4 linked regions of the Drosophila melanogaster genome follow. Changing the gene in region 1 together with any one later gene gives a genetic interaction. Each region holds a gene or a part of one and is shown in the gene's direction. Other genes may lie near its edges. The genes, in order: Krn, stet, Sos and S.

Region 1 (8,785 bases):
CGGGGCACGTGCCCAAAGTGCGTACATTTAGGGGTACATTGTCCCTGTATATACATTTGTACTGTACATATATCCGTACGATGGGGTCTGCGTGTGATAGCAGCGGCTAAAAATAATCTATACGCATCAGAGGGGCCCAGCATTGACGTTCGAGATTGGATTTGGATTGGAATGTATTGGCACGCGTACTGGCTGCAAGTCCCTTCAAGGGCAGCGTTGATAAAGGGTCCATCACAGTGGTGCAAGGACGATGGAACATTCGCCAAACTCTCGATGACGAGGTACCACAGCCCATTGTAGCCGCCTTAAATTGCAATAACTAACAACAAGGACAGCAAATAAGAATTAATAATGCATATCAGTGTATACTTGTAATGAAACGTAAACAGGCGATAGTGCGGTGGGCCTATAAACAATATTATTTGCTCTTCGAATTTGTGATGCTGTAATCAGTTGTAGGAGCATCATAGAATTTGTAATGCATTTTTCAAAATGCTAATAAAGCTAGACGTTTACTTGCATAAATACTCTTGTATTTGTTTATATTCATCGCATCCAAATAAACTGCACGTTGCAATACTATTTATATTTAAGACATTTTTATGGAGGTCAGCTATAAAATAATCCACATTGTACAATATTTTAAGCTTTTCACAGTTTAGATCTTCCAAGCCCAACTTGAATAAATTTAATAAATATCTCCCTTTGTCAGGATATCAAACATTGCAGTTCATGTCACTTTAAAAACATTTGATCCAAGTATTCCAAAGTAGAAAGTAGTTATTAAGGTAAAAGTGTTAGGCAAGACATTATTATTAAATTGTCACTACTTTTTGGTGATATTTTCTAAGAGCACCGATCTCATTATTATATGAATATATGGTTGACTTAGGAACTGTTTGATCATGCGCGGTATCCGGATAAAAACAAGATTAAGAGAGCGGAAAGACGGCGATGTCAAGGCTGCGTCACAGATCGGAAATAGACATCAGCTACGATTTTGGCGGGCAGAAATATGCTGTTTGCCGTTTCAGTTACCACAATTACTCCAGCAGGCTGATCAAATATTGATCGACTTGAGGACCCCCACCATGTGAGCCCACTACGTCACTGCTGACGGCCACAAAGGGGGGGGGGGGGTGTGGTGTGGTGTGATGTCTTTGCGATAAGAATTTCGGCTACAATGCCGCGAATTTGTTGCCTCAGCCGGGAACTTTCCTTTGCCATCGATAACAAGATAACAAATAAAATGATTTAATTTATACTTATGAATCGAAAACTCCCACGGCGTCGCATTGCAGTAACTGGCTTGTCAGTTACTCTCAAACTGTGTCCACAGCTTTTCCGCGGTGGCGCGTAGAAAAGCTCACGCCACCTTGCAGTGGCTCTAAAAACTTTTAAAAACTAAATCTCTTTAGTTAGATTAGATCTCTCATATTACAAGCCAATTTTATGTATATCCCTGATCTTGATGTTTATATTTTTTAAATTCAGTGGCTTGACATCCCAGAAGTTTGGAGTACTAATCTCACGTCTACACATTTTTAGTTCTTGAACAGAATATATTTAACAAAATATAAATATTCAATGATTTTGAAAGAAAATGGTACGGTCTATAGTTTTGTTTCGGATTTTATTAATCTACAGTTTTGGGTATGCTTATTTTAGATCCTGTTGGTTCGCAGGTAATCTTCATCGTCATCTCCATCGGCATCCTCCACCACGCTGTACGAATTCTTGCCGGCACCATCCTTGGCCAGATGCGTTTCGAAGAACTCCTCGACAGTGTCTGTGTTCCACTTGGTTATGGACAACGTCTCCTGCACTTTGCCACTGGCATCTAGGAGCTTAACCACGGGATCCAGTCCTCTTACGTATTTGATCTGCAGGTTGGGGAACTTGGCAGGTCGGCCGCTTTGAATAAAGGCCTGAATCTGCGGATAGGCCCGGAATTTGCAGGTGCACACCTCCAGAATTGCCTTGGCATATGTCCGCTGTGCCGCCGGCTGCTGATCCAAAGTGCAGCATTGCTTACACTGAGGCCTGAAATGTTAAAAATGTTTTGGATGAATAAAAAAGAGCAATGGGCTCAAGCAGAAACTATAAAAAGTTAATATAATTTTTGTTATTAAAAACTGAAGGAAGAATCATATTTAGTCAGTGGTATGGAGGAGCTTACTAAGTCAAGCTAAGCATTTTTGGTTGGAATATTTAAAATGAGGTATGAAATTTAACCTGATCTAATTAGATTAACATATTAATTAAACAATTTTCAGGTCTTCTTATGGAATGATTATAGCATAGTTCATGGGTATCTTTACAACTCCAAAGCTAGATTAATTAAATGTTATTGAACCCACTTGATGGTATCCAATCCGAAATCATCCAGTTTTTCGCAACTGGAACACATTAACTGGGCCTTAATAAAACCCAACGCCCGGCAGTCGGCGGCCGTCAATTCGGCTTGAATTTGCTGGCACTGTAGGGTATAAAATATATATTAAAAACATGTCTTAGCTTCAGACATAACTTACACTTAAAGCCAGTAGAAGAAATATAGCACATTTATGCATTTTTGTGGCTAAATTCTAATTAAATTTACTACGTCCACGTCGTTGTTTACAAAATTTTCTTAGCTTAGTGATGAGTAGAAGGGAAAATAACATTATTTAGGCTTATCGATTATATTCGGGTTGCTTGTCTTTTCATCGTTTAGGGTATTCCGTATACTGTTTATGAATTAGACAATTAATCAAACTTTTGAACAGCTTTAATAAACTTATTATTATTATTTCTTGATATTTTTTCAGCAATTTGAAACTTTTGTCACTATAAAAGTGTACAAAATAATTTCAGGTTTTTATATTCAAGTACGCAAGTTTATTTTCCGATGTTAATAACTAATTTCATGTGATTCGATAGCTTATCACGCTTACATCCCTACAATCGATACGGACTGCCCAGCAGCTGGCCACCACTAGCTCAGAAATCGAAGATTATTCGTGGTGGTGCATTTGTTTTTTTCGCTTCGCTCGCGAAGTGAGCCCAGTTTTAAATTATTTAAATTGCGTATAGTGAAGCCACTTGAAAGCGAAACGCCTACTGTCGCAGTTCTGCCAAAAAACCAACAGTATTAGCTGTGTGCGTGTTTGGCAACAACAAGTCAACAAAATTCGAACAAAATCAATAAAACGGAAACGTGAGAGAGCGCTGCGCAAAAGAGAAAAGCGAACGCAATCGCAATCGACCAACGCATAGAAGAAAACAAGGTGAATAAATAGAACATGGCATAGAAAAGGCGAACTAGAATCAAATCGAATTAAAATCGGGTACAGAAATAGACGTGAAAAGAAAGGGCGAAGAAAGGGAAACAAATAACCGTTACAGGAGCACTCCTGGAGATTTAAGGCTCTCTCTCCCCCTCCTCAGCACTTTAGCCCCAGTTGTGCGTTTGTGTGTGTACATGTGTTTATGTTTTGTTTAGCACATTAATAATCTTAATTCTGCTAGATTTCGCCACTCAGGTGCTAAACGCTAAAAAAAAAAGTGCACACTCCGATAAGTCTACCCCTGTGTCGGTGTACTTGTTTATTTAATTCATATTTACTCAAGTAAATTAATTCATTTGCCCTTGTACAATAACAACAAGCGCCGTTTGCTTGGAAACTCGTTCTCGCAGTCGACCGCCTCCCCTCTTCGCTCCTAATCTTATTCTTTCTCTATTCCACTGCAATACCACTGCAGCTGTCGGTGCCTGTGTGTTTTTCATTCAATCCAGGAAATTGCCCCTTGAGAGACCTTCCATTCAGACAGCTCCATCTGCATCTTCTTCAGCTTCTTCCGCTTGCATCTTCATCCTCTCTCTTGTGCTCCCGGTCCCGTTTAACTGGTTTACTTTATGCTTTATTCCACTGATGCCTCCTCTATCGCCCTCTCCCTTGCGCACACCTGCTGCTTGGCAGCTGTCCACGCGCTCAAATTTCTTATCACCGAACAAACTCCGGCTGAAACCCAAAACCTGGCCCAAACTGCGTTGTTACTTTTCCACGGCAATTCCCTAATTTCCAACGCCTTTTGTCACGGCCCTGTTGCTTTCTCCCTCTCGAGAGCTCTAACTCCCTCTCCAATCCTATTTTTACATACACGCATACGCAGTAAAACTTGGCTATGACAAACCACATATTATTCTATAGATACCAAATACTGTTTTTTTAATACTGTATATTGTTAGATACAAAAACACTTTTGGAATTACAAATCCAGATGGAATTATTAAAAAAAAATATGTATATATTTTGCACAAAATTTCTCATCTGTTTCAAAGGTAATTCCATATGTGTTGACATTTAGAAATGTAAAAGCTTTTCTATTTATTTTAAAGATTCAAAAATTATTTTTAGCCGAATGCATACGCATTAAAAGCAAATCGATTTATTCGGTTTAAACATCTATTGTTTTTCAATGGAAAAACCAGTGTATTTTCCAGAGAACCTTACCTAAGTTTTTATATGTATATATTACATTGAAAATAATTATATGCCAGCTTTGAAGCATGTTAACGATAAGTGTACTTGAGCCCGATTGTTAGTGAATTCTTAAAAAATAAGAATGAGCAAAGTCGCTTTACATTGGGATTGATTGTGAAATCCTCCAAATCTTTGTGTGTCACTATAGAGTCTTATTTAAAATGATATTACCAAATGTATTGGCAAAACGCAGATAAGTTCAACTGTACAATGTGCAATCTCTCGGTTTCGTGCAATTTTGCAATTTTTCAAATGCCCGCACATCTGACTCATCCACAGGTAACTGTAATTACTGCCTAGCATCCACTTGCTTTCCGCACCTGTGGATGGTATTTGTCACCTTATCAATACGGTTTCTCTGTGTTGACTGTGATTTTAGATATTCCTGCGCACGAAAAAAATTGGACACCTCTAAATTTAATTATACAAATAGTACTGTTTATGTTTTCCTATATTTATTGAAGTATTTTAAAGTGTGTATACAAAAGTAATTATTGAGTGCATATGAAACCAAAGTCTTTTGTATTCTGATACAAAAATCATATCATATATGATATCAAAATTTATTTCTGTGTACTCTGCTGTTTGTGAGGTCAATTTTTGATAAGCCACCAGGTGCTCATTTAGCTCGTTGGCGCCTATTAGCTCATTATTCAAGCTTACGTCCGGCTCACCCACATACCCACAGATATAAAAAAAAACTATACAAAAAACCCATATATGCACTCGCAGAAATTAGGGCCAACTTAAGCCCACTCACGCAGTTTCTTTATTGGCTTGAACTATTTTTGTTTTGCTCGTTTGGCTCCGTTTATATTTCAATTGACCGAAAGGTCATCTTAATTGCATTTGTGTTTTGCGACTGTCGCACTGTCCTACTCGCACTCGCACTCGCACTCTTCTCCTGCCATTTCAGCTGTCAACTTTCACTCGTGAGCTTTGTTGTTGTTATTTTTAGACGTAGGTGCGTGCCACACATGTGATGGGAGGAAAGGGGAAATTTTATGGGGCTTAGGGCTCCGTTGAGCTTTACAAAGCAATTGGACACGGTTTAGTCCAAGGACTCGCGACTGTGGATTGAGATTCCGACTAGTGACGAGAGTCCTAGAAAATAAAAGCTAAATGCTATCTTATATATAATTGACTGTTTGAAATAAAGTACAAATATTAGATTTAATGTGCTAACATCCAAACAGGTGACGAAAGCAAAACTTTTTAAAACGAAGTGTATATTTATTATAATTGCAACTGTTTCGCTCTTCTTTCCTTCACTTCCAAGTAGAAGAATATAACTTTAGTTTTGATTAATAATGTAATATTGCATGTTTGAATAAAAAAATAGTTCAATTTCACTGACATATTTCCTAATATAAATTTAGACAGTTAAGTTGGCATGACTAGCGTTTATTGAAAGCACTTAGAAAGTTTTAATTTACGTTAAGTGGAATTCCGAAAATTAGTGTTTCTGAAAACGACACTGTTATTGTGGATCACAACTAAGGCGAGCACTAATTTGTTTATGTTTTTTACGCCCACTCAAATGGTCGCCACTCAAATGTTGCTTACAAATGATGTATTTGTTTCAGCAGAATTACTCAACATCGTTGTTTCTGTTGATCATTCGAATTATTTTGTTTATATACGCAACGGGATCAGTTACATTCTAATGAAGCTCATTCTTTCTCCGGAAAAGATCTTGTTTATAACAAGGCGTTTCGAAATCCTAAGGTTAAATCAATTTTTTATACGTTTAAATACATCTTGTATTAAACAGTTTTTATATATTGAAGTGCCTGAAGTGTTCGCTATGTTAAGTGAGAGTGTAAACAGAAAAACCAATTGATAATGAATGCAGGCTGTGCAAATGCCACAGCCGCTTGGGTTCCGCTCGCGATTCCGGCCAGGTAAATAAACGATGTCATTTTTTTGTTAAAAATTTATGAAATTCGATTTTCTGTTTCTCGTTCTCACTTAGGTCGAGGAGCATAGGTTGTAATTGTGAGAAGGAGGCGGCTGGCGGTGCTAGGCAGGCAATTAACCCACACAGACCCGAACACGAGCTTACATTTTTGATTTGTTTTTAATTGCACTTCGTTTTTGTTTTGCAGCCGCCTGCCAGCCAAAGCCAAGAATTCCACATTACAAAACACCTTAAACTGCATTGCCACATTCCCAAGTAAGCTGCCATGAGTTAAGATCAAGATGCGAGCCCAGGATCTGCTGCTGCTTGCCACCGCTTTAATCGGCGCTTACCTACCGCTCACCGCCGCCTGTTCCTCGCGTGCCATCGCTAAGCCGCGGCCAACAGCTGCACCGATCCTGCCGCCGGATAATGTGGAAATATCCACAACGCCGAGACCGAATGTCACCTTCCCGATCTTCGCCTGTCCACCGACCTATGTCGCCTGGTATTGCCTGAACGATGGCACCTGCTTTACGGTGAAGATCCACAATGAAATCCTATACAACTGCGAATGTGCGCTGGGATTTATGGGTCCGAGGTGCGAGTACAAGGAGATTGATGGCTCGTACCTGCCAACCAGGAACCGTGTGATGCTAGAGAAGGCCAGCATTGTTAGCGGAGCAACGCTGGCCCTTCTGTTTATGGCCATGTGCTGTGTGGTTTTGTATCTGCGACACGAGAAGCTGCAAAAACAAAAGCTGCACGACAGCACCACAACCACAACGACCGACGGTGGCTGTCAGAACGAGGGCATGGACGAGGTGGATGGCTTGCGACCCTTACGTCCAGTGAGACGTCCCTTTGGACCCTGCCGCATCCTATCGCTGGAGGAGGCCCACCTTCAAGCGAAAGCCTCCAATCGCCCCAGGCATTGCAACGAACTTTTGCGCTAACTAATTAGCCTGGCTGCTCATTTGTTTTTAAATGTCTAACATGTCCAACTGTTTATTTTAACTGCTAAACGAAACTATTATTTTTGCCATCTGATTGAGATGGCGAATGCCGTAGTTCTAAGTGCCTACTGACGTGCCTATAACACATTTAGATCAAGTATTAACGAACGAAAACTGATTGCTCAGAGAGAGATAAAAATAAATCTAGATATAATTCAATGCAATTTTGGCAGCTAGCCGCCCATTTATTTATTATACACCTAATTTTATTAAAAAAAAAAACGCGTGAACTAATATCGTCAATAAAAGCGAGAACTAAATCACCAGCTTTACTTTCAATTTAGATAATGCAAATTTCGAATACCTTTAGAATTTGATTGGGAATAGTTTGCACAAAATTCACCATGGCCTTGATTTTCCTTTTATTTCAGAGATGCATGTAAATACTAAACAGTTGATCTGTTAAGCTACACGAAAATAAGGATATCTTAAATTTAGTATGTAAGAAAGAAAAGAATTTCTTAAGAATCTTCTTTTCTGAGACGTCACCTTAGGCTGTCAAAAAAATTCATATGCTTTGTAACCCCTTAAGCACTGAATTAATTTTCCCGTTTTCCGTTTGTAATTTCCAGTCATGCCGCACAACAACCAGCCGTCTCCCGGGGATGATCAGTTGGGACCGCCAAAGGCGGACTTCAGTGCTCCGCCACCGTACGAGGCGAACGTTGGCCATGGCCAGCAGGTAGCACTGCCGGCTCAGATGCCACCGCTGGCCTTGGCCACACCCGATCCCAGTCAGATCCCGATACAGATGCAAGTGCAGCTGCCGAGCCAGGCGGACCTTATGAATGCACAACTGCCGCCAGAAATACACGGGAAGTTGCCCACGTACGAGGAGGTTCAAATGGAAAAGTCGCTGAACGGAGAGCTGCCGCCCGCCTTTTTGACTTTACCCTCCTCGCAGCAGCTACCGCCGCCGCCGAATCCGCTACTGCCGCCAAATCCGCTGCGCGATGGAGCCGCTGCTGTGCGATCTGCCCAGCCGGCACTCACGTTCATCGCCATCGATGCCAGCGATCCGGAAAATAGTCTGTCCACCACCGACAACTTGCTCGGCACGGACATCATGTTCATCACGGCCTTCATTGTGGCCTTTTTGTTTAACTGGATCGGCTTCCTGATGCTCACCTGTTTCTGTCACACAATCGCCGCCCGATATGGAGCATTGTCGGGATTCGGATTGTCGCTGGCTAAATGGACGCTGATCGTGAAGCACTCGACGGACTTGGCCTCGCACGAAAACTCCTGGCTCTGGTGGCTGATCTGTGCCTTTGGCTTCCTGATCAGCATACGCGCTTTAATACAGTATGTCAGCATCAAGCGATCGTGGCGCCTCCTTTCCG
Region 2 (6,671 bases), about 16 Mb from region 1:
CGATGAGACTGCTATTAATTGTAAGAGATTCCTCGATGGACGTGGCATGGAGTATTTCCTTAAGTGTTTACATGTAAGTTCTCCAAAAACTTGCCATTATCCGCAGCGCAACAAAGATAAGATTGGGAACTAAAATATTTAATTTAAGAGCTGCATAGAGAAAGCGAACAAATGTATACTCCTTGGTTTCATGAAGAAATAGGTTAACTTCCTGTATCCAGACTTCTTAAGCTGAACTGTCCTTTTCCAAAACAGACCTTCCCGGATCGTGACGAGCTGTTGCGCAACATGATGGGCCTGCTGGGCAATGTGGCCGAGGTGAAGTGGCTGCGGCCCAAGCTGATGACCCAGGAGTTCATTGAGGTGTTTGCCCGTCTGCTGGACTCCCTGAGCGATGGCATCGAGGTGGGTGGTGCTAGTGCGAGTGTGGTGGCGAGAGTGCGGGAGAGAGAGATGGCCAGTGCTAACCATGCCTACCTGCGCTTCCAGGTCAGCTACAATGCGGCTGGAGTGCTGGCGCACATTGCCTCGGACGGAGCGGATGCCTGGACGATCAAGACGCCCAGCCGGGAGCACGTGCTGGAGCGCATGGTGGCCGCCATTCAGCGGTGGAACATCAAGAGCGAGCGGAACATCAACTACCGCAGCTTTGAGCCGATCCTCAGCCTGGTGCGCTGCTACGAGACGCCCCAGTGCCAACATTGGGCTGTTTGGGCCCTGGCCAATCTGACACAGGTGGGGGAGCAATTCCTTTTCCCATTGTTGGTGCATTGTGTACTAACTTCTGCATTCCGTCACAGGTTTATCCCGAAAAATATTGCAAGCTGGTGGAGCAGGAGAACGGCATCCAGATCCTCAACGAGCTAATCGAGCACGAGAGTCCCTACTGCGAGATCAAGCGCATCGCTCGCCTGGTCATAGAGCAGTGCGACTCCGGATCGGAACGCATGGTCGTCGACGGCTAAGCGGATATTTAGGATAACACGTAGCTTTAGGAGTCGAGTTTGTTGTAATGTTTTTTTTCTGCTTCCTCTGTTTCCCGTTTTAAAGCAAGTGCATGTGTTATGTGGTTCAAGAGATTCTTCCTTGACTTTTATGTTTACAGCGAGAGCAGCAGATACATAGATGCAAGTTTAAACTATGCGAGAGTTAAGCAACTAAATCTAATGATGCAGAAATATTCGATAATTACATAATTACTAGATTATATATGTATATGATGTATCACATGTTGTAAGCCAGCGATCTTTTTAGGCCTTCAGAAGTGTAAATATTGTTAAAACCGGAAAGAGGAAGACATTGGAGTAGCAAGCAAGGCTGCTGGAGATTAAATAAATCCTTAAGAATTGAATTCCCCGTGGATCGATAGTTCTTTCTCTAGCCACATAGACGAGTGTATGGAATCTGTTCTTTGAATTGTGGTCATCATACGATGCTCACTTAACCCCCCCACATTTGCTGTGCTTTCGCATCACGAACCCAAGTAGCTGCAAGTTCAGGATCGGATCGTTCAAAATAATCTAGCTATATAATCTAGACCACTAGGCTAGGCTTAAGCAACTGTAAATATATTGCAAGTAACAGTTTTGAAAGTTCTGCGCTTGGCATTAATATTTATAACAGTGTACGTTACCATTAGTTACCTTACATTACGTATATACATATATATAATTTGATTCGTAAGCGACATCACGCCTGTGTCTTACCAAAGACCCTAGAATAACAAGATGCGTAACGGCCATACATTGGTTTGGCACTATGCAGCCACTTTTTTGGTGACGGCCAAAATTACTCTCTTTCCGCTCACTCCCGCTGAGAGCGTAAGAAATCTAAAAATATAATTTGCTTGCTTGTGTGAGTAAAAACAAGAGACGAGAACGCGTATAAGTGTGCGTGTTGTGCTAGAAGACGATTTTCGGGCCAAAATCAATTCTGATCGAAGAAACGAATTTACATGGTACATATTAGGGTAGTTTTTGCCAATTTCCTAGCAATATGATAAAATAAAAAAATTTTTAAAAATTCGCGCCCTGACTATTATAATTTTAAAGCTTTTTTAAATTTGTTTGTTAAAATCGCCGCTTGAATTAGCTACCGTTTACACATTTATATTTATGTTTAATTCTAATTTGTCTCTCATCTGACAATTTTTTAAAAGCGAAATATTTTTTTGAAACACTTTTAATGTTAATGTTACATCATATTAAGTCAAATGATTTAATAAATATACTAAATAATTAAATATGCAATTAAATTAAATTGCAAAAGTAATATCAAAGACAATAGAATTATTCTAGTGTCTTTGCTTTGTTCCACGGCCAAAAAATCGTGTGCCAAAAAATCGTATGGCGTTACGCATCTTGTTATTCTAGGGTCTTTGGTCTTACACTTTCCTTACCATCCAAAATCACACGATTCTTACAGTGGAACTTTTCTTAAGTTTATTATTTCTGCTTTTGATCGATTAAAGTAATTTTTAAAAATATTTTGGTACAGCTCTTACTCAAATAAAGCTCAGGAACTTCCATTTAACTTATCTATTTGAAATCATTATTTTTTTTTAGACATCATTAAAGAATGAATGCATCACACATTTAAGAAATCTGTTTTTATCATATTTAAAACGGATTTTTTGAGTTTAGGGCTAGAAAGTTTTCCAAATTAAAAGTTTGCTCTACAAAATACATTCATTAATTCGACTTCATTCATAAAACATCATTTCACAATCGCAACTTTGTAGCACAGTGTGGAGTGGAGTGTGCCAACCAGAGCTTTGTCTTCATCATATGTATGTGATATGAGTAAGTTTCAATAAAGCTGCATCTCCCGTGCAGTTTCATTCATCAAGTTTTCAGCAGTGAATCACTAACTAGTATGAAAACTAGTGATGATTTTAACATTGGCATTCCACGGTGCAAGTCGCGGGGTGTGGGGTGCGTAGCCGCTGTTATTATCGAAGTGCAGGGTATGTAAACATTAGGGGGTGTGAGTGGCCAGCTCTGGAATTGCGTCATGCGCCCCCTCGCAGAGCGGGTGGGTGGGCGCAGGGGAGGAAGGAAATGCCAACGGGTTGGAAATGCTTTCCAAGCTGAGCGCATGTGCCGTGGGAATCCGAATCCCCTGCATCCCCCAGAGAGACACTCTCTCTTCTCAATTTTGGCAGCTCTCCTTGGTCAGTTGTCATTTTGCCGGCGGAAAGTTCGCGTGTTTGTTTTTGCCTGGATGTAAATGTGCAATAGTTTTGCGTTCGCGGGTGCAAGCAAAACGGTAAATAAAAGTGAAATAAATGAAATAAAGAAAGCCAAAGGCCAAGCAGAGAAGCGCAAGCAAGAAAGTCCTGTGAACCAAATAGAAAGCAAAACACACGGGGGGTAGCAATCAAGCCAATTCTCCTTCAATGGAAGGAGAAGAATGCGCATTCCATTCATTCGCTAACAAAACCATTCAATCAATGCCAATTGCCTAGTTTAATTCAACAAAATGAAAACAAAATTGTTCCGGCAATTGACGAGGCGTAAACAAAATGCAAAACAATTGTTTGCCAGCCGGATTCTGCGCAGTGTGCCTTATATTTCCAGCAGGATCAATAACCTTCTTATCAGCGGAAAATAAGGGAAAACGACAACAAACCGTTGACTTGGCAATCAAAACAAAGGGCAAAAGCAAAAAGGAAATTTGTTTGCCGGCCATGAAATAGACTATGGTATTGAAAACCAGCAGCCTATGATTATCCGGAAGTATCTCTCTGGGCCCGCGGAAAGTGCAACAATTCTAGTAACGTCAAATTGCAACAAACTGATTTCACAGGCCCCCCCAACCCCAACAAACAGAAAATCTTAATTTCTTTTCTTAAGAAAACGAAATGAATGAATTATTTTTTTTATTCATCTCGACACAACCTCGGCGGCACTCGAACCGCCACTCGAAAAACGTGAGCACGCGTGAATCGACATCTCAGCGCACTCGACCAAATCGGTGGTGGAATTTATGTCGTTCAAACTGAACTGCCTCCAAAAGAGCTTTTGAGTTAAAGAGATTGAAAAGCTCTGCACAGTGGATCCACTTGGCGAATTTCGAAAACAAACATTTTAAAAATATATAACAGCTATTTACTTTTTTTGTTTCAAATTATTATTTAAATTTCTACAATATTGGGGAATAAAAGGACAGACAAGTTCGGAGCATAATACTTGATAATTACTTTTCCGCAGCTGAACTCTAATCGCTACAAACACTGCCAAACCACAACACAACGATCCGCCCTGATCCCAAAACCAAATCTGGATAGCCAGGAACAGCAGGATGTGGCCCGGCTCCGAGCGAGGAAGCTCGCGGGCCCTGGAAATCCCAACCAGCCAGCAAAATGCCGGCGGTAGTAGTCAGCAGGAGACTCTGGCCGACATCGAGCACATATCCACCATTGCCGGCTCCCTTGCCTCCATTGGATCCCTCTCGCACACCCAAATGCGCTATGTAAGGAGCCGGAGTTGCTTGTAAAGATCGTATCTCTAACTCTAATTACCCGCAGCAATGCACCAATGATGCCGGCTATGATACGGAACACACGTCCCTGAACTCGGACTTCGATGAGGCCGAGCTGCGACGGGAGCTACTAAGAGATGTGAGTTCCAATACGAAAATCCTGAACATTACTTATTATAATTCCTTCTTTCTTCACTTTACTTACAGAAATGGAAACTGCTCTTTGACATGGTGAGTAAGCCAACCCAAAAAGGAATACTTATAATTATACTTATTTATAATTACTTTTCACGCTTTGCAGTTCGATCCCGAGGGTTTTGGCGAAATATCAGTCGAGGAATTCCTGGAGGCCCTCAAGTCGCCGGAGTTCCTGTCCCAAGTGCCTATGAACAAGCGGGAGCTGCTGCTGGAGCGGGCAAAGAAGGCGAAGCTGCCCACAGGACCCGGCTACGTGACGTTCCAGGACTTTGTGAATGTGGTGAGTGTGCCGTGTGCCGCAATTACAATCGCCGGTGGTCACTGGCCAAGTAACCAAAGTAACCAAAGTACCCAAAGCACCCATGCCATGCGTATATTTGTCCCGGGCTGCTCATCAACGGCAAACTCGATTTAAGTGCAAACACAGGTGCAAAGTACTCACCCAGGACGAGGTCCAAAGTGTAGGCTCGTGTTCAAACAGACGGAGGACAAGGCCTCGTCCTGGCAGGAGCCGCACTCTTGTTTGGCAAATGCAAAAAGTGCGCTTGGCAAATAAATGCGCCGCTTACGCTTACACTGCGAATAAAAGGGGGTTACTTACTTTTATGCTAGTACCTATGGACACCTTGTTCCGGAAGCAGCAATGTATTTGAATGAAATACACTGCGCATTAAGTTATTTGAAGGATATACCAAGGACATCGATTGTAGAAAAAGTTAGACCATAGTTTTTCTGTATGTAAGCCCACGTCTCGTTTGCTTCCTTCGCCACGCTTGGCCAGGCATTTGAGTGTTTGTCCTGGTTACCTGGGCACTGGCTATTTGTCCTGATGTGGTCCGAAAATACTACCTTGGACTTGAGCTGTGCAACTGGAGGGGAGTGGGCGGCAGAGGTGACTTCTGCGAGCGAATGAAGCGCTTTTCTCGGCTTTTCCTTTGATTGGCAGGGCAATCCTATTGCATTTTGATTGATTCTACCCAGTTGATTGGCACGCACACAAACCGCACACGACAAAACACTCATGCATAATCAATTGCACAGTGAATATTCCTTCGCCTTGGCCGTTCGATTGTTTGCCAAAGTGTCCTTAAAGTCATGAATTAGCCAGGCCGACGTGTCCTCATTTGCCCCTGTGTGTGTGTGTGTAAGTGTGTGAGTGAGTTTGGGCAAAGACACTAGAATAACAAGATGCGTAACGGCCATACATTGGTTTGGCACTATGCAGCCACTTTTTTGGTGACGGCCAAAATTGCTCTCTTTCCGCTCGCTCACGCTGAGAACATAAGAAATCTAAAAATAGAATTTGCTTGCTTGTGTGAGTTAAAAACAAGAGACGAGAACGCGTATATGTGTGCGTGTTGTGCTAGAAGACGATTTTCGGGCCGAAATCAATTCTGATCAAAGAAATGAATTTACATTGTACATATTAGGGTAGTTTTTTGCCAATTTCGTAGCAATATGATGAAATAAAATAATTTTTAAAAATTCGCGCTCTTCTTATTATAATTTTAAAGCTGTTTAAATTTGTTTGTTAAAATCGCCGCTCGAATTATCTACCGTTTACACATTTATATTTATGTTTAATTCTAATTTGTCTCTCATCTGACAATTTTTTAAAAGCGAAATAATTTTTTTGAAACACTTTTAATGTTAATGTTACATCATATTAGGTCAAATGATTTAATAAATATACTAAATAATTAAATATGATAACTGTTTATTGCAAAAGTAATATCAAAGACACTAGAATTATTCTAGTGTCTTTGCTTTGTTCATATCTTGAGGCACGAAATGCGGACACAAGCACTCAACAATCATTGCCTTATTAATTTTTCACACGCCGCAAGATGAATACTCTAATGACAAATATTCTTATATAAAGTCATGTTTGAAATTGATTTTTGTGATAATATGTACATAGATTTGGCTTTTTCTAATCTATTTTCAAATAATAATAACGTTAAGGCAATGCAAAACAAGAATTTTTCGCA
Region 3 (9,297 bases), on another chromosome or scaffold:
TTGTTTATATTCGCAAATGTGCGAACCGATAAGTTCGGTAATCGAATAGCAATATCGATTGGCGTGTTGCATTGTTTACCTTTTGCTTGCACACTCTGGTCTCACTGTTTATTTATTTACTTGCGGTGTTTAATGAAATAGGAAATTACTTTAATTTTATAAGTTTCATAAGTCCGAAACCCACAAATAACCATGCCCAAAGTAGTGTCGCGCAGTATCGTCTGCTCCGATACCAAGGATCAGGAGGAGTACAACGAGGAAAAGCCGCTAAACATTTACTACTGTCTGTGCAACAAGATGGCTCTGATTCTGGGTAAGATTACTGGAGCCAACTAACTGAAAGCATAGTACATCATGTTTGCCTATCCTACAGATTGCACCCTCGAACAGTTGCCGCTACGAGAGGTGGACAACGCCCGTGTGATAAACGCCAACGACCATGCCAACAAACTCACCCACAATCCCACACCGAGGATGGTCTACATCAAACGCAAGAGCAGGGGCAATGGGATCGAGAAGCAGTACCGCTACAAGGTGAGTAGCTGACTTCCACTCCTTACCCGTCATTAGTTCACCTAATGTTTTCCTTTAACCTTCAGTGCCGAAGCTGCAGTCTGCCGCTTTACTATCGCCACAGTCCCGACTCCCACGTAACCTTCGTCATGTCCAATGCCCTAATCCGCAACAAGGGTGAGAGTCCTCTCACACAGCTGCTGAATTCGGAGATCAAGGGCAGTTTCAAGGCACCGGCTGCCAAGCCAGCGACTTCCGCCGGTCCAGACGATTCGGGTATTGTGGATGCCAGTGGCAAGAAGGTCGTCGTCACCAGACACACGAAGAACATGGGCAAGTTCAGCTCGGTCACGGTGTCTACCATCGACGAGGAGGAGGATGAAATCGAGGCGGTAAGTTTGTCAGCTAAAGTTGGTTTGTAAATGGTGCAGGAAATCCAATCTATCATTGCATCATCTACGAACAAACCTACAACTCTTTCAAACTAACCATTTTTTTTGTTCATTCAAACAGCGCGAGATCGCAGACAGCTATGCGAACAACGCAAGGATTATCGAGAAGCAACTGCAGCGCAAAGGCGGAAAATTGAGCGATGTGGGCATCAAAACCAAGACAGAGGACGCACCTCCGCCGCAGAAGAAGCAGCGCGGCACGCTACTGGAAAGATAGTCACACTCTGCCTCCTTATTACCCACAACTAAATATATTTGACGACACAAATGGCTGGCATTCTTGGAAGAAAAATTGCAATTTATCTAGTTATAGCATACGCAAATAGTTTGACCTTCTATGCTGTCGTTTTGGCAGCAAACTGGGATGCTGTGCCAGTAGCTTCTTCAGTCGCTGCTCGGCGTGCTGGTGATTGAGAATCGAGTCCTTGACAAGCCCACAACTGGGACATAGATTGTACTCCGACTTTGACTTTTTGACGATCGCTGGACGCACGCGAGTCTCCATGATCAGCTTCATTCGATTCGTGGTACGCGGCGAGTTGTGCAGAGCAGTGAGTGGACGGCACTTACTTCTTGGCGAGGATTCGGTCCGTTCCAAAGCAGCCTTCTCCTTGCTCCTGACCAGCTCGAGTGCACGATTCGCTCGGGCTTTGGCCAGCTGCAATTCGAGAGGCGCCTTTGGCAGGTTAAAAAAGAAGTGGGTCCACTTATCGCGCAACTGTTCGATGGCCTCCGAGTTGAATAGTGAGCTGGAACGATTGGAGGTATGGGGTCCCCATTCCGCGTTCCCGATGCAACTCAATCTATAAGCGGACATTGAAACCTGAAGTATTATACACTGAAAATTTGACAACAAAGTAAAAGTGTACATATATGTGTATATGTATACTATATACCGTATAGTTATGGTTTTTGGATGGATTGTTTTTCAAATATATAATTATACGAGGGTATAGAAGCTTCGACTTCTGGAAGCTAGCTCCCTAACTGTTTTTGGTTTTTGTATTCTGTTGCATTGCATTGCTTTCATATGTTTAATTGTTTCAACTGAACACATTGTACTTGTTTTCGATTTAGAAGCGTTGAAAGCGGATGTATCTTACATTATCCAAGTAAAATAAGGGATGAGTCGATATGTATGTTGCATATCTCCTTACGATTTTAGATAAGGAAAGACATTTTATAAATATAAATATAAATTTCTTGAAATATAAACATTGAAGAGATAATTAAATTCATTTTTTTTGGGTAAATTATAATATATTTTAAACCTGCTCGTTGCAATTTAAATTCAAAATGCTTCTTCTTCTGCTAAAAAAGCCATTCAACACGAATGCTCTCTACATTGGATTTTTTAGTACATTCTTAAGCATCGAATCAGGGCTGGTCGCGAGCATTTACTGGATTTAGGCAGTGCCGCACTCTGGTCACACCGCGAAAAATATTATATTGAGTTGAAGATTATATTATACATATATATATCGAAGATACATATTCTGAAAACAAGTGCTGAAGCCCAAGCGATTTGCAAACGAAACGGACGCGCGAGCCCCGTTCAAGATTCGAAACGAGTTCAGTGCGTGCGCTTGAGTGTGTGTGACTGCCATGCGACGTTCGCCCGGGTGATCCGGCTGTGCCAGGTGCCCCACGGTTCCAGGTTTCCAGTTTCCAGGTTCCGCTCCACTCCACTCGTCGCTGGATTCAGTGCACAACACAGCGGGCGGGGAGGCGGAGGGCAGGCGGCCAACGAAGGTGCTCCACGGCAGGCTCTCGTCGGCTACTCCACGGCGCACAGAATGTTCTCGGGGCCCAGCGGCCATGCCCACACCATTAGCTACGGGGGCGGGATCGGTCTGGGCACTGGAGGCGGCGGCGGCAGCGGTGGTAGTGGTAGTGGCTCACAGGGCGGAGGCGGTGGTATTGGCATTGGCGGCGGTGGCGTGGCTGGGCTGCAGGATTGCGATGGCTATGACTTCACCAAGTGCGAGAATGCTGCGAGATGGAGGGGCTTGTTTACGCCATCGCTAAAGAAGGTGCTGGAGCAAGTGCATCCACGGGTTACCGCCAAGGAGGACGCACTGCTGTATGTGGAGAAACTCTGTCTGCGGCTTCTGGCCATGCTGTGCGCCAAGCCGCTGCCCCATTCCGTGCAGGATGTGGAGGAGAAGGTGAACAAGTCCTTTCCAGCGCCCATCGATCAGTGGGCCCTGAACGAGGCCAAGGAGGTGATCAACTCGAAGAAACGCAAGTCTGTCCTGCCCACGGAAAAGGTGCACACGCTGCTCCAGAAGGATGTGTTGCAGTACAAGATCGATAGCTCCGTGTCCGCCTTCCTGGTGGCCGTGCTCGAGTACATCTCAGCGGACATACTCAAAATGGCCGGCGACTATGTGATCAAGATCGCCCACTGCGAGATCACCAAGGAGGACATCGAGGTGGTGATGAACGCCGATCGTGTGCTAATGGACATGCTCAACCAGAGCGAAGCCCACATCCTGCCCAGTCCCCTGTCACTTCCCGCGCAGCGTGCAAGTGCCACCTACGAGGAGACGGTCAAGGAGCTGATCCACGACGAGAAGCAGTACCAACGCGACCTGCACATGATCATACGCGTCTTTCGTGAGGAGCTGGTGAAGATCGTGTCCGATCCGCGCGAGCTGGAACCGATATTCTCCAACATAATGGACATTTACGAGGTGACGGTCACTCTGCTCGGCTCCCTGGAGGACGTCATCGAGATGTCCCAGGAGCAGAGTGCCCCCTGCGTCGGTAGCTGCTTTGAGGAACTGGCCGAGGCCGAGGAGTTCGATGTGTACAAGAAGTACGCCTACGACGTTACCTCGCAGGCCTCACGGGATGCTCTCAACAATCTCCTGTCTAAGCCAGGGGTAAGTATTGATACCTTCTGTGCGAAGAATTCTACTAAAATCCCTGCTTTTAGGCCTCATCTCTGACCACAGCCGGCCATGGCTTCCGCGATGCGGTCAAATACTATTTGCCCAAGCTGCTTCTGGTGCCCATTTGCCATGCCTTCGTGTATTTCGACTACATCAAGCATCTCAAGGATCTCAGCTCTTCGCAGGACGACATCGAGAGCTTCGAACAGGTACAGGGACTGTTGCATCCACTCCACTGCGATCTCGAAAAGGTAATGGCCAGCCTGTCCAAGGAGCGACAAGTTCCGGTTAGCGGTCGAGTGCGCCGCCAGCTGGCAATCGAGCGGACACGGGAGCTCCAAATGAAGGTGGAGCACTGGGAGGACAAGGACGTGGGCCAGAATTGCAATGAATTTATTCGCGGTAAGTGCTGGCAACGAAAGTTACTTGCATCCTCCAACTAAAATGGTATTTCAAATTTACAGAGGATTCGCTGAGCAAACTTGGATCGGGAAAACGAATCTGGAGCGAGCGCAAGGTATTCCTCTTCGACGGGCTAATGGTGCTATGCAAGGCAAACACCAAGAAACAAACACCATCGGCAGGAGCAACGGCCTACGACTACCGACTGAAGGAGAAGTATTTCATGCGACGCGTGGATATCAACGATCGACCGGACAGCGATGATCTGAAGAACAGTTTTGAGTTGGCACCCCGGATGCAGCCGCCCATTGTGCTGACCGCCAAGAATGCACAGCACAAGCACGACTGGATGGCAGACCTGCTGATGGTTATCACCAAGTCGATGCTGGACCGGCACTTGGACAGCATATTGCAAGACATCGAGCGAAAGCATCCGCTGCGGATGCCCAGTCCGGAGATTTACAAGTTCGCGGTGCCGGACAGCGGTGACAATATCGTGTTGGAGGAGCGCGAAAGCGCAGGAGTGCCGATGATCAAGGGAGCGACGCTTTGCAAGCTAATCGAGCGCCTCACCTATCACATCTACGCCGATCCGACTTTTGTGCGCACCTTCCTCACCACATATCGCTACTTCTGCTCGCCGCAGCAATTGCTGCAACTGCTGGTGGAACGCTTTAACATACCGGATCCCAGCCTGGTCTATCAAGACACGGGCACAGCAGGTGCGGGTGGAATGGGCGGCGTTGGCGGTGACAAGGAGCACAAGAACTCGCATCGCGAGGACTGGAAACGATATCGCAAGGAGTACGTGCAGCCAGTGCAGTTTCGAGTGCTCAACGTACTGCGCCATTGGGTCGACCATCATTTTTACGATTTCGAGAAGGATCCCATGTTGCTGGAGAAGCTGCTGAACTTTCTGGAGCACGTGAATGGCAAATCGATGCGCAAGTGGGTGGATTCCGTGCTTAAGATTGTTCAGAGAAAGGTGAGTAGTTGGTCAACAGCATAATGTGGAAGTATCGTTATCATTTTTCAAATATTATTTACAGAACGAGCAGGAGAAAAGCAATAAAAAGATTGTATACGCCTATGGCCACGATCCGCCGCCCATTGAGCATCACCTTAGTGTACCCAACGACGAGATAACGCTCCTCACCCTGCACCCACTGGAACTGGCCCGTCAGCTCACTCTACTGGAATTCGAGATGTACAAGAATGTAAAGCCGTCTGAGTTGGTCGGATCACCCTGGACGAAAAAGGACAAGGAGGTGAAGAGCCCTAATCTACTGAAGATAATGAAGCACACCACGAACGTCACCCGCTGGATTGAAAAATCCATCACCGAAGCGGAGAACTACGAGGAACGCCTGGCTATTATGCAACGCGCAATCGAAGTGATGATGGTGATGCTGGAATTGAACAATTTTAATGGAATCCTCTCGATTGTCGCGGCTATGGGCACGGCATCTGTTTATCGACTGCGGTGGACATTCCAGGGATTGCCCGAACGCTACAGAAAATTCTTGGAGGAATGCCGCGAGCTCAGCGACGATCATCTCAAAAAGTATCAGGAGCGATTGCGATCCATCAATCCGCCTTGTGTGCCATTTTTCGGTCGCTACTTGACCAACATACTCCACTTGGAGGAGGGTAACCCCGACCTGCTAGCCAACACAGAGCTAATTAACTTTTCCAAACGACGGAAAGTGGCCGAGATTATTGGCGAGATTCAACAGTACCAGAACCAGCCATACTGCCTCAACGAGGAGTCCACAATACGACAGTTCTTCGAGCAACTGGATCCGTTTAACGGACTGTCCGACAAACAGATGTCCGACTATCTCTATAACGAAAGCCTGCGCATTGAGCCAAGGGGCTGCAAGACAGTGCCGAAATTCGTAAGTATAATGCTTCAAAGTTTACAAGTCATATAGGAAATTTAACCATTTTCCTTTCGTAGCCTCGAAAATGGCCGCACATTCCGCTCAAATCGCCGGGCATCAAGCCGCGTCGCCAGAATCAGACCAACAGCAGTAGCAAGCTGTCGAACAGCACGTCGTCCGTGGCGGCGGCAGCGGCAGCATCGTCAACGGCCACCTCAATAGCTACGGCATCGGCGCCATCTTTGCACGCCTCCAGCATAATGGATGCGCCAACAGCAGCAGCAGCTAATGCTGGATCTGGAACTCTCGCTGGCGAGCAAAGTCCGCAGCACAATCCGCACGCTTTCTCCGTTTTCGCCCCTGTTATTATACCCGAACGGAACACCAGCAGCTGGAGTGGAACGCCACAGCACACTCGAACGGACCAGAACAACGGGGAGGTTTCGGTGCCGGCGCCACATCTCCCCAAGAAACCGGGCGCGCATGTCTGGGCTAACAACAACTCGACACTGGCCAGTGCGTCGGCAATGGATGTTGTGTTCAGTCCAGCGCTGCCGGAGCATCTGCCACCGCAGTCCCTGCCGGACAGCAATCCATTCGCATCGGACACGGAAGCTCCACCGTCGCCGCTGCCCAAGCTAGTGGTCAGTCCGCGTCACGAAACCGGCAATCGATCACCATTCCATGGGCGCATGCAGAACAGCCCAACGCATAGCACTGCCAGTACCGTGACCCTTACAGGCATGTCTACATCGGGCGGGGAGGAATTCTGCGCGGGTGGATTCTACTTTAACAGTGCCCATCAGGGACAGCCGGGGGCAGTGCCCATCTCGCCGCATGTCAACGTTCCGATGGCCACCAATATGGAGTACCGAGCAGTGCCGCCTCCACTGCCACCCAGACGCAAGGAGCGCACTGAGAGCTGTGCGGACATGGCGCAAAAGCGTCAGGCGCCAGACGCACCCACAGTAAGTAGCCTCACTTACTTCTAATTTGTAGTAGCAGATGACAGCAATCATTTTACGTATCCTTGCAGTTACCCCCGCGTGATGGCGAACTCAGTCCGCCGCCGATACCGCCACGGCTCAACCATTCCACGGGCATCAGCTACTTGCGACAAAGCCACGGCAAGAGCAAGGAGTTTGTGGGCAACAGCAGTCTGCTCCTGCCCAACACCAGCAGTATTATGATACGCCGCAACTCGGCGATCGAGAAGCGGGCAGCGGCAACTAGCCAGCCAAACCAGGCGGCGGCGGGACCCATCAGCACGACACTAGTGACCGTGTCGCAGGCAGTGGCGACGGACGAACCGCTGCCGCTACCGATCTCGCCAGCGGCAAGCTCCTCGACGACCACATCACCGCTGACACCCGCCATGTCGCCCATGTCTCCCAACATTCCCAGCCATCCGGTGGAGAGCACGTCGAGCAGCTATGCCCACCAACTGCGAATGCGGCAGCAGCAGCAGCAGCAGACGCATCCAGCGATCTACTCGCAGCACCATCAACATCATGCCACCCATCTGCCGCACCATCCGCACCAGCACCATTCGAATCCGACGCAGTCGCGCTCGTCCCCCAAGGAGTTCTTTCCGATTGCCACGAGCCTCGAGGGCACACCCAAACTTCCACCAAAACCTAGTCTAAGCGCTAACTTCTATAACAATCCAGGTGAGTGCTACCAACTCGGCCCGTGATAACGTGTTTCCTAACCCAACCATCCTATCCGTTTGCAGATAAAGGTACGATGTTTCTTTACCCAAGTACAAACGAAGAATAATTTAAATTGCCTGGCGATGTGATAAGGACGAAAACTACGAGTATGATCCGTAAGATTCAAAGTTGCGAGCACTGCTTGAGTGCAGATATATATATGAGAGAACGGAACGTGAGATATATATATATATATATACATATATACGTAGGCGCAGTTTATGTATTCTAGTATGAAACGAGTTGGAACCGCTGATTTAGATTATTCGCCACTCATTTAACAAGGTAGAACAGACAGACAGACAAAATACGCTCTCATTTACACACAACAGGCACGCGCATATGGATAGGAATGCAGGACACACAAACCAAGCAAGCAACCAAGCAACCAACAAGAAATGCAAACAAGAAATTATGTTATTATATAATTACTATTATAAATATTTGTAAATATCGAGAACATTGTATTGATCGTAGAACGTAAAACAATAAAGTATAACCCTATTGTTAGACACTTGGCGACATCTTTCGATGACCAGAAATATAGAGTATTGTAGCCAAAGTCAAGGCAATCTGAGCAAATAGCATAGATTATCAAGGCTTTTCCAACGTTTAAAGATCGTGGGTATTCTTTATGTGCCCAGTGGCCTTGATGAAGTCGACGTGAACCGACATCCGACTGCAACACACCTGACATTCTCGCAGTGTCCAGCATAATCGCAGCCATTATTAAGATTGTGTATATGGCTAATTAGTTTCGGTGGGTTAGGAAAAACTAGAGCGATTGTTGTCTCACTGCATTAGGTGCAATTAAATTGGACACACACATTCGCTTATTGGAAACAACGCGGATTGACTTTCGCTTTTCTAAAACGTCATGAACGTCGAGCACAAATGCTTCCTGAAATTTTGGGCTGCTCGCCGCTGGGAACCGGTTGTTGTTTTTTTGAATTATTTTCGTATATTTGTATATTCGTATTTTCACGCTCGTGTCCAGCCCCTTATCGTCAGTTATTTGGGGGAGTTATGTGTGTGCAGCAGCCACCGTCCCCAAAAAGCGATGTGTCACCTGATGGCGCAGCGATTTGGATCCTCGGTGAAGTACCAGCGGTTACCAGGGTGAATAAACCGAAAGGAATTCCTGGGAAAGACAGACCATCTTTCATGTCCAATTGTGTCCTATGAACACATCTCAATACATCATAGCAGACACTCGGGGAATTTCCGTTGTTGAATTGTGGGGGGTGGTGGTGGGGTGCACCTTTATTTATAGAGCACCATGCACTCCATACCCTATAGACAAGGCCATCGGACGAGCACGATCATATCTATTCGCCATTAGATTTCGCTTTCCCTGCAACACTTGACCAAGATATCGGGAAGCCAGACGACGACCTACACCAACTGGCAATCTATGTATGTAAGTATGTATGTGCCA
Region 4 (6,369 bases), on another chromosome or scaffold:
TTCACCTCTCGTTCAGCAGGGATTGTAACATCTATGGTTCGTAGGACAACCAAACTAAGGATCAGCGAGTGAAGATGCAGCAAATCACAGTGCTCCGAGCGATGTAACCAGTAGATAATGGCCAGAAAGTACAGCCTCAGGTCCTCCGGCAACTGGTCGAGCTTGCTGAACAACTTCTCCGTATCCGCATTGGGAGCATTGTCTTCGAATACAGCTCTTAAATGCCTAGCATCCGGCGAAAGAGGATCAAACGGATAGGCAGGCTTCTTTTCAATGGGCATCTTGAAATACCTCACGTTCGTCACTCGCAGAGCTCTGGTGAGGTAGGTGAGATAGGGGACTGTCGAACCCTCTATATCCATATCCACTTCTAATGGTAGCTCAATTTTCTCACACTCTACGTGATGGAGAAGAGCGAACACGTAGTTCAGGATGGGTAAGGCCACTTCATTGGAGTCGTGGAAGGGAAAGTGCTCGATCTGTGGGTTGTTGATGTACTTGCGCAGGTGCATAAGGTCCACGAAGCTGCGGGGCAGGTGCGCGGGATATAGTTTGTCCAGAAACCATTGTGGGAAGAGTAGCGTTTTGTCTTCCACTTCCAGCTCGAGGCCTTCATCCGCCTCCTCTTCTTCTTCATCACCCGAATCAACGTCTTGATTTTCTTCCTGCTGCTCCTCATCTTGGTTATCAGCTTCCTCCTGATCCTCGCCTTCTTCGACATCTGAAAATTTTTCATCGGAGCTAGACGAATGTTCATCGTCGCTGCATTCCTCTTCACTGACGGGTTCTATATAAGGAAAAGCATTCTCGTAGTGCTCATCGAAGTAATCGTAGGCGTGGCACAACTCGTTGGAGTAACCAGAGATGGCTGCATTCACTTGGGAGACCAGGGAATCACGCTGGTTCTGCAAGAATATTATTTTTAGCATAAATCGGAAAAAGATATCTCAAGCAACGAACCTTTTTCAGTCTCGACAGCACTTTAGCCAGAGCAGATTCCGCCGTTTCCTCCTTCAGCCATGTGAGGATGACCTGTATGCGCTTCTGCTGGAGCTTTAGTTTGCGACTTCGTCCTGCTTTGCCCATTCCCGCAGCAAAAAAGTTCTTGAAGGCACTGCGGGCAATATAGTCATTGCCCAGGAGGGCGGCAAAAAGGGGTAGCTTCTCGGGACTCAGAGTTCCTCGTCCGCAGAGATGGGACACCCGGTAGATGCAGCAGTCGAGGTACTTGTAGGTCTTGGAACTGCCTTTTGTACTGGCTGTCAGCCCTGTGGTTTGAATGCCAGTCACAATCTTGTTGGCCCTGGTGCGCTTCTTCACATTCTTGGCCTCGCAGTGACGTAGATCTCGACTGTCCTTCTGGTTGCTGCTGTTCTTGTCCTTCACCTGCTTGGTGAGAACCTGGGGTACATGGAATCGCTTAGTATATGCTGGAATCCAAATAACTTATGCCTTACCTTAACAGTCAGCGTGATCAGCGGGATGTACTTGACGTTGTGGATGTAGAAATCCGAGTCGTAGGAGAGCACTGGGCAGTTAAGTTTCCTGGCCAGAGCAGCCAACTCGTCGTCCGCCTCAAAGACGCACCTCATCACCGGGACTCCGCAGTCGCGCACAGCGTCCACGAAAACCTCCTTGAGGTGCAGCGGGAACAGCGTGATGGATGCATTGGGGTTTATCTTCTTGATCACGGAAATCTTGTTGCGCAGCCGGGTGCTAACGGTCCTCAGCTTGCGCTCCTCGTACCCGCCGTCCATGAGCACATAGGGCCGAATGTTGCACTCGGCCAGAACCTGGAAGAACTGCACCACGGCGCGGTAGAAGTCGTCGTAGTCGCCGCCGAAGGCGGAGTAGCTCCCGGTGACATCCTTGTACAGATTGCAGCTCAAGTTGTCGCCATCGATGACCAGCGCCGTGGAGTGCAGCTCGTGCGGCTTAAGGTAGATCTCCGCGCGCTGCGCTATGTAACTGGTCAGGCCGCGGACTCCCATTTTCCCGGCGCTTGCCTATTTTCCCAATTTTCTATTTACCTATTTTGCACAAACTTTAAAAGCGTGCTAATAGTGATGTCAGTTTGCAGTGCGATACTATCGATGTACATATCGATTCTTTAGCGTGGCCGTTCGCTGCCGTTTGGTATATATGAGCGATTAGTTTGGTATCTAGGGTATTTCCCGCAGCCGGATGGTATATTCCGGGGATGGCGCCGCGGTCACACTCTGTCCCGACAATTCCAACCCGACGCTTGTCTGCTCTCCACCCGCGCATCAAACGTCGAAAAATCGTAACGTCGCGAGTGCTACGCGGTGGCCAGGAGAAAAATTCGCCAGCAATAGCAACACTTGTACCGAAAATCTAAAGGAAACTGGGAAATGTACTAGCACAAACACAGCGAGTGCAGTGGAAACCGAAATCGCCATTGAATCGAAGAGCGCGTGCATATATACGGGTTCCGTTGGTTCCGTTCCGTTTCTTGTCGCTTTTCTTGCACACACTTTACCACTTTACCTTTGCGTCTCTCGTTTCGTGCGTGCGTGTGTGTGTGCGCGGAGTGTGGTGTGCGTGCGTGTGTGTTGTTTTTGTGTGTTCGTTTAACTAAAGCACAGGTAGAAGGAAAAGCAGCGGAAAAAAGAAAACCATGGGCGAAATATGCATATGAAATTAAGTAAATACAAGGCGACAGCAGCAGAAAACATCCAGTAGCAACGAGAAACAACAACAACAATAACACACGTTAATAACTCAGCTTTGTGCGTCTTTCGTCTGCGCTTCACATAGTATTATTTTTCTCTTGGATTTTCCACACAAAAACACCATGAGTGAGCGAGCGAGAGCGACGATCGTGATCACCGTGTCGTGAATGAATTTTTGTCAGTGTGTGCGAGGCGTGCTCTACGCACACACACACGTACGTAAACAACACAACCACACACGGCCCATCATCGATCACCAATCACCTGTGTGTGTGTGTGCGGCATTTAATAAATAATTGTGTGCAAATAAATGTTCCAAAAGGAAATTGTTAAGCCAAACCAGCAAAAAACGTAAATCAACCGTGCGATAATTCGTCCTAGAGTTGAAAAAAAAAGACGGTTCAAAAGCAAGTGCGTGTGTGCAGAGTTCTTCTGGTGTCTTGGGAGCTTCGTTTTACGGATACGAAACATATATAACTTCCCTCTTTGCCGAAAAAGGTGAGTTCAAAATCAGGGAAAAATCCCTTTCCCATTGGCCAAGGCCGTTCCGGGAAATCTGCGAGTGGTCTTGGCCCACGTTTCCTGTCTTCCGCACATTTTCACACGTCCTGCAATTGCAATTTTTTCCGATTTCCCAACTCTGCACCTCCTGTATGTTCGGCGATTCCCACGCCTCTTTTTTTCGGGGCAGGTATTCGCAGGTAGCGGAAAGAGGAAAAACCCTCGGGAAAGCCGATAAACTAGAGAAAACCTCTGTTGGTGGGCCGAAAAAACCAGAAAAAATAGAAGAATTGAAATGTTTTCCCTGGCTGCTGAAACAGAGAAAATCGGGCGAAATTAGGCACCCGCTGATTCCAGAAAATTGCTCGTATAATAGAAACATCTCACTGGGGGAGAAATAAATTATCGTTATTATCATCTGCAGTTGCAATTTGGCACAATTTCGATATGACTGTGCTCCCATTTGCCCGGCGATTATGTAATTTTCGCCGCTGTGCTCGAGAATCAGGTTCATTTTCCATATGAAAAAGGGGGCTTTGCTGCAGACATTGCATATATGCCGACGATCTGGCGACCACCGACAGTTGCCAGCAATTTCCGGCGCTTTTTGGCAACTGGAAATCGAGCACAAAAGTTCATCCCAGGGCTTAGAGAGCCGCAAAAGGCGTAGCCATCCATATTCACCCCATCCCAAACGCATTTCCCAATGTGGTTTATAGTTTTCCTACAGCTGTTGCGACTGCGATTTTAACGATTTTTACTGGTAATCCGGGGAGGAAGTGAAGTTCATAGCGGTTCGACCAGTTGATACCTCTTAATAAACTGTTTGTAGGGCATTTCTGAAAAGGAAATATTCCAAAGCGAGATTTGGTTAGTCTCAATCCTTAGAACAGCATTGCTCACTTCCTTACACAAGTGCATACTACCCTCGCATACCCTGTAATCAGTGGGCACCATAAAAAGAGTTTGAATTTCAAATAAAATCCACTCTCCGGCACACACACAAGTCCACTGGGGAGCAGCTGCTGTGTGTCTCTTTGTGCTTGGTCTCAAATGACACTTGCCAGCGCTGCTGCTGCATATAATTCCGAGTTCTGGGGAATTTCCTAGTAGGAAGTGCAGGGGCCACAGCGAAAACACCAGCAAGAGTCGCACTTGATGATTGTCTTGCCACGGCTATTGCCGTCCCACTCTGGAAACGTAAATAGAGAGGCCCGATAAAGAGCGGTCTCGAACTTCCCCCAGTTGTGTTGCCTCTAACCCAACTGAAACTGAGTGGAATCGAGGTTTTCTGGCGGCATAAAATTTGATAGCAATTAAGATATTTGTTAGAACTGTTTCTAATGTCACATGTGCTGCGTGTAGGAGTCTCATCCTGCACTATCTTGTTTTTCGCACTTGCCCCGTTCCCATTTCCCGGCTGGTACTCCAGTTACTTGCCGCAATTGACCAATTAAACAATTGTCTTTGATTAAATGTGCAAATTTGTCTAATGTTCTGCACTGCGCGTATGTGCAAAGCGGATGTGCCCGCTTAAAGCTGCGCTTAAATTGCCCGCGTAATTTGTCACTGATCTCACTTTCTCAATTGGCGATCTCTGATTTCTGAGATTCCTGATCTCTGCCTGGCCAATTAGGCGTCATTATGCGGCAGGCAAGAAGGCACCGTTAGATGGAGCCATTGCAACAGTGGCCAGAATAATAACAGCGACTAGGAAATAATGGCTAATGGCCTATACCTTTGCCCATCTAATGCTTCTTGACCTACAAGCCTCCACAGGCCTCTCGCGTTTCCTGCCCGCTTTCATTTACTGTTAATTATTGTTTAGAAAAGCGCGGGGGCGGGGGCCAATAATAATAAGAAGAAGAAAAAGCAGCAGCATTGGCCAATAAAAGCTTGCAAACAATTTCGAATTTCCAAATGGTTTGAAATGCAGCCCAGCTGGCAACAGAGGAAAAGAGGCAGCCAAATCAACCGAAAGGCAACACGGGGCCATAACAACAATCTTGCTCGCACATTCATAATAGGCGAAACAGAGGCGGCCAAAAAAGTAGGACTGTTTCGTACAAAAATATATAGTAGGATCTTAACGAAATGTAGTTTTCATAGGATCAAATGATAATGTACTGTGTTTATTCGCAACTGAAAAATACAAAATATTCTGACCAACTGTATTTTTAGATAACAGCAATATTTGTAACTACTCTATTATTCCGAGCCCTACTGTACGCATACACACACACACACACAGAATCAACAAATAAAGTAATTATTTCCTTTCACATGGCGAGCTACCTCCAAAATCGGAAAGACATAAAGAAGAATATAAAAAGCGGAGAAGCCCCAAGACCCAAAAATAAAATCCAACAAAATCCGCTGTCGGCGTCGATTCCTTTGTTGTTGTTTTGCTGCAGCGGTCCCAACACGTGCAATTGGGAGCGAGCGAGAGGGGGAGAGTAGGAGCGAAAAGAAACTAATAGGCCAGTAGTACGAATCGCAGAGGAGTGAGCAGTGCAGTGGCAATTTTGCATCGATCTCCCACTCAATGGGCAAAAAACGGAGCTCGAAGTTGTGAGTGACATGTGTGAGTGAGGCTCGAAGTGAATGAATGGCACAATCTGTGATTGATTCATGCACAACTAGATGACTAAATTCGCTTTCGGCCCATTCTTTCATATCCGTTAGCTGGCCACTCCTTTTGTCCAAGTTTGGTCAACCAAGTTGGCTCGCTCTTTTGCCATTTAATTGATTCATCCACACCAGCAGATATCTGAAATCTGAATCGATCCCAAAATGACACCCAATTTCACTGTTCTGTGAATGAATACGGTTTTTTTTATCACGTGTATGTGGGTGCGAGTGCGCCATCGTCTTACGTTGTAATTTCGCGACTCTATGTCCGTCCTTGTCTGTTGCTAATAAATCAAGACCCATGTTCATTTTGCAACGGCTTTGGATACCCTACAGTGGGTTGCTTCGTTTTGTCAGACTCAACAATAATTGCAAATGGTTTTCTGTGGTTATTTACAATTATGGCTATAAACCTCATTAAAAGTCTTGAAAGCTGCTTAAATTGATAATTACAGTTCCAAAGAAGTAATCACTCATATTCATTGTATCATCATTTGGAAACATCAGTCATTGCAAACACATCAGTCATATCAGTGTCGAGGGT

Evidence for each region.
Region 2: of Krn (region 1) and stet, changing one suppresses a phenotype caused by changing the other (phenotypic suppression), as found in Drosophila melanogaster (one study listed by BioGRID).
Region 3: of Krn (region 1) and Sos, changing one suppresses a phenotype caused by changing the other (phenotypic suppression), as found in Drosophila melanogaster (one study listed by BioGRID).
Region 4: of Krn (region 1) and S, changing one enhances a phenotype caused by changing the other (phenotypic enhancement), as found in Drosophila melanogaster (one study listed by BioGRID).

The regions. Positions count from the first base shown.
Region 1 is NT_037436.4:17,648,476-17,657,260, reverse strand, and holds Krn (keren), read left to right. Parts: upstream 1-2,980; 5' UTR 2,981-3,269; intron 3,270-6,634; 5' UTR 6,635-6,728; coding exon 6,729-7,382; 3' UTR 7,383-7,699; downstream 7,700-8,785. Other genes in the region: CG7484 (uncharacterized protein), read right to left, coding at 1,665-2,043, 2,361-2,479, 2,535-2,573; Ndfip (Nedd4 family interacting protein), read left to right, coding at 8,017-8,785.
Region 2 is NT_037436.4:1,486,048-1,492,718, reverse strand, and holds the start of stet (stem cell tumor), read left to right. Parts: upstream 1-3,171; 5' UTR 3,172-3,267; intron 3,268-3,673; exon of another isoform or gene 3,674-3,813; intron 3,814-3,887; exon of another isoform or gene 3,888-3,980; intron 3,981-4,211; 5' UTR 4,212-4,302; coding exon 4,303-4,473; intron 4,474-4,528; coding exon 4,529-4,621; intron 4,622-4,689; coding exon 4,690-4,713; intron 4,714-4,783; coding exon 4,784-4,960; intron 4,961-6,671. Other genes in the region: CG12084 (uncharacterized protein), read left to right, coding at 1-73, 256-735, 801-965.
Region 3 is NT_033779.5:13,811,453-13,820,749, forward strand, and holds Sos (Son of sevenless), read left to right. Parts: upstream 1-2,363; 5' UTR 2,364-2,761; coding exon 2,762-3,853; intron 3,854-3,906; coding exon 3,907-4,264; intron 4,265-4,326; coding exon 4,327-5,249; intron 5,250-5,313; coding exon 5,314-6,162; intron 6,163-6,224; coding exon 6,225-7,115; intron 7,116-7,183; coding exon 7,184-7,817; intron 7,818-7,882; coding exon 7,883-7,926; 3' UTR 7,927-8,372; downstream 8,373-9,297. Other genes in the region: CG16865 (uncharacterized protein), read left to right, coding at 193-313, 374-534, 600-905, 1,027-1,182; CG16888 (uncharacterized protein), read right to left, coding at 1,273-1,782. UniProt on the Drosophila melanogaster protein: Promotes the exchange of Ras-bound GDP by GTP. Functions in signaling pathways initiated by the sevenless and epidermal growth factor receptor tyrosine kinases; implies a role for the ras pathway in neuronal development.
Region 4 is NT_033779.5:1,073,657-1,080,025, reverse strand, and holds the start of S (star), read left to right. Parts: upstream 1-2,210; 5' UTR 2,211-3,191; intron 3,192-6,369. Other genes in the region: ast (asteroid), read right to left, coding at 1-905, 961-1,401, 1,458-1,991.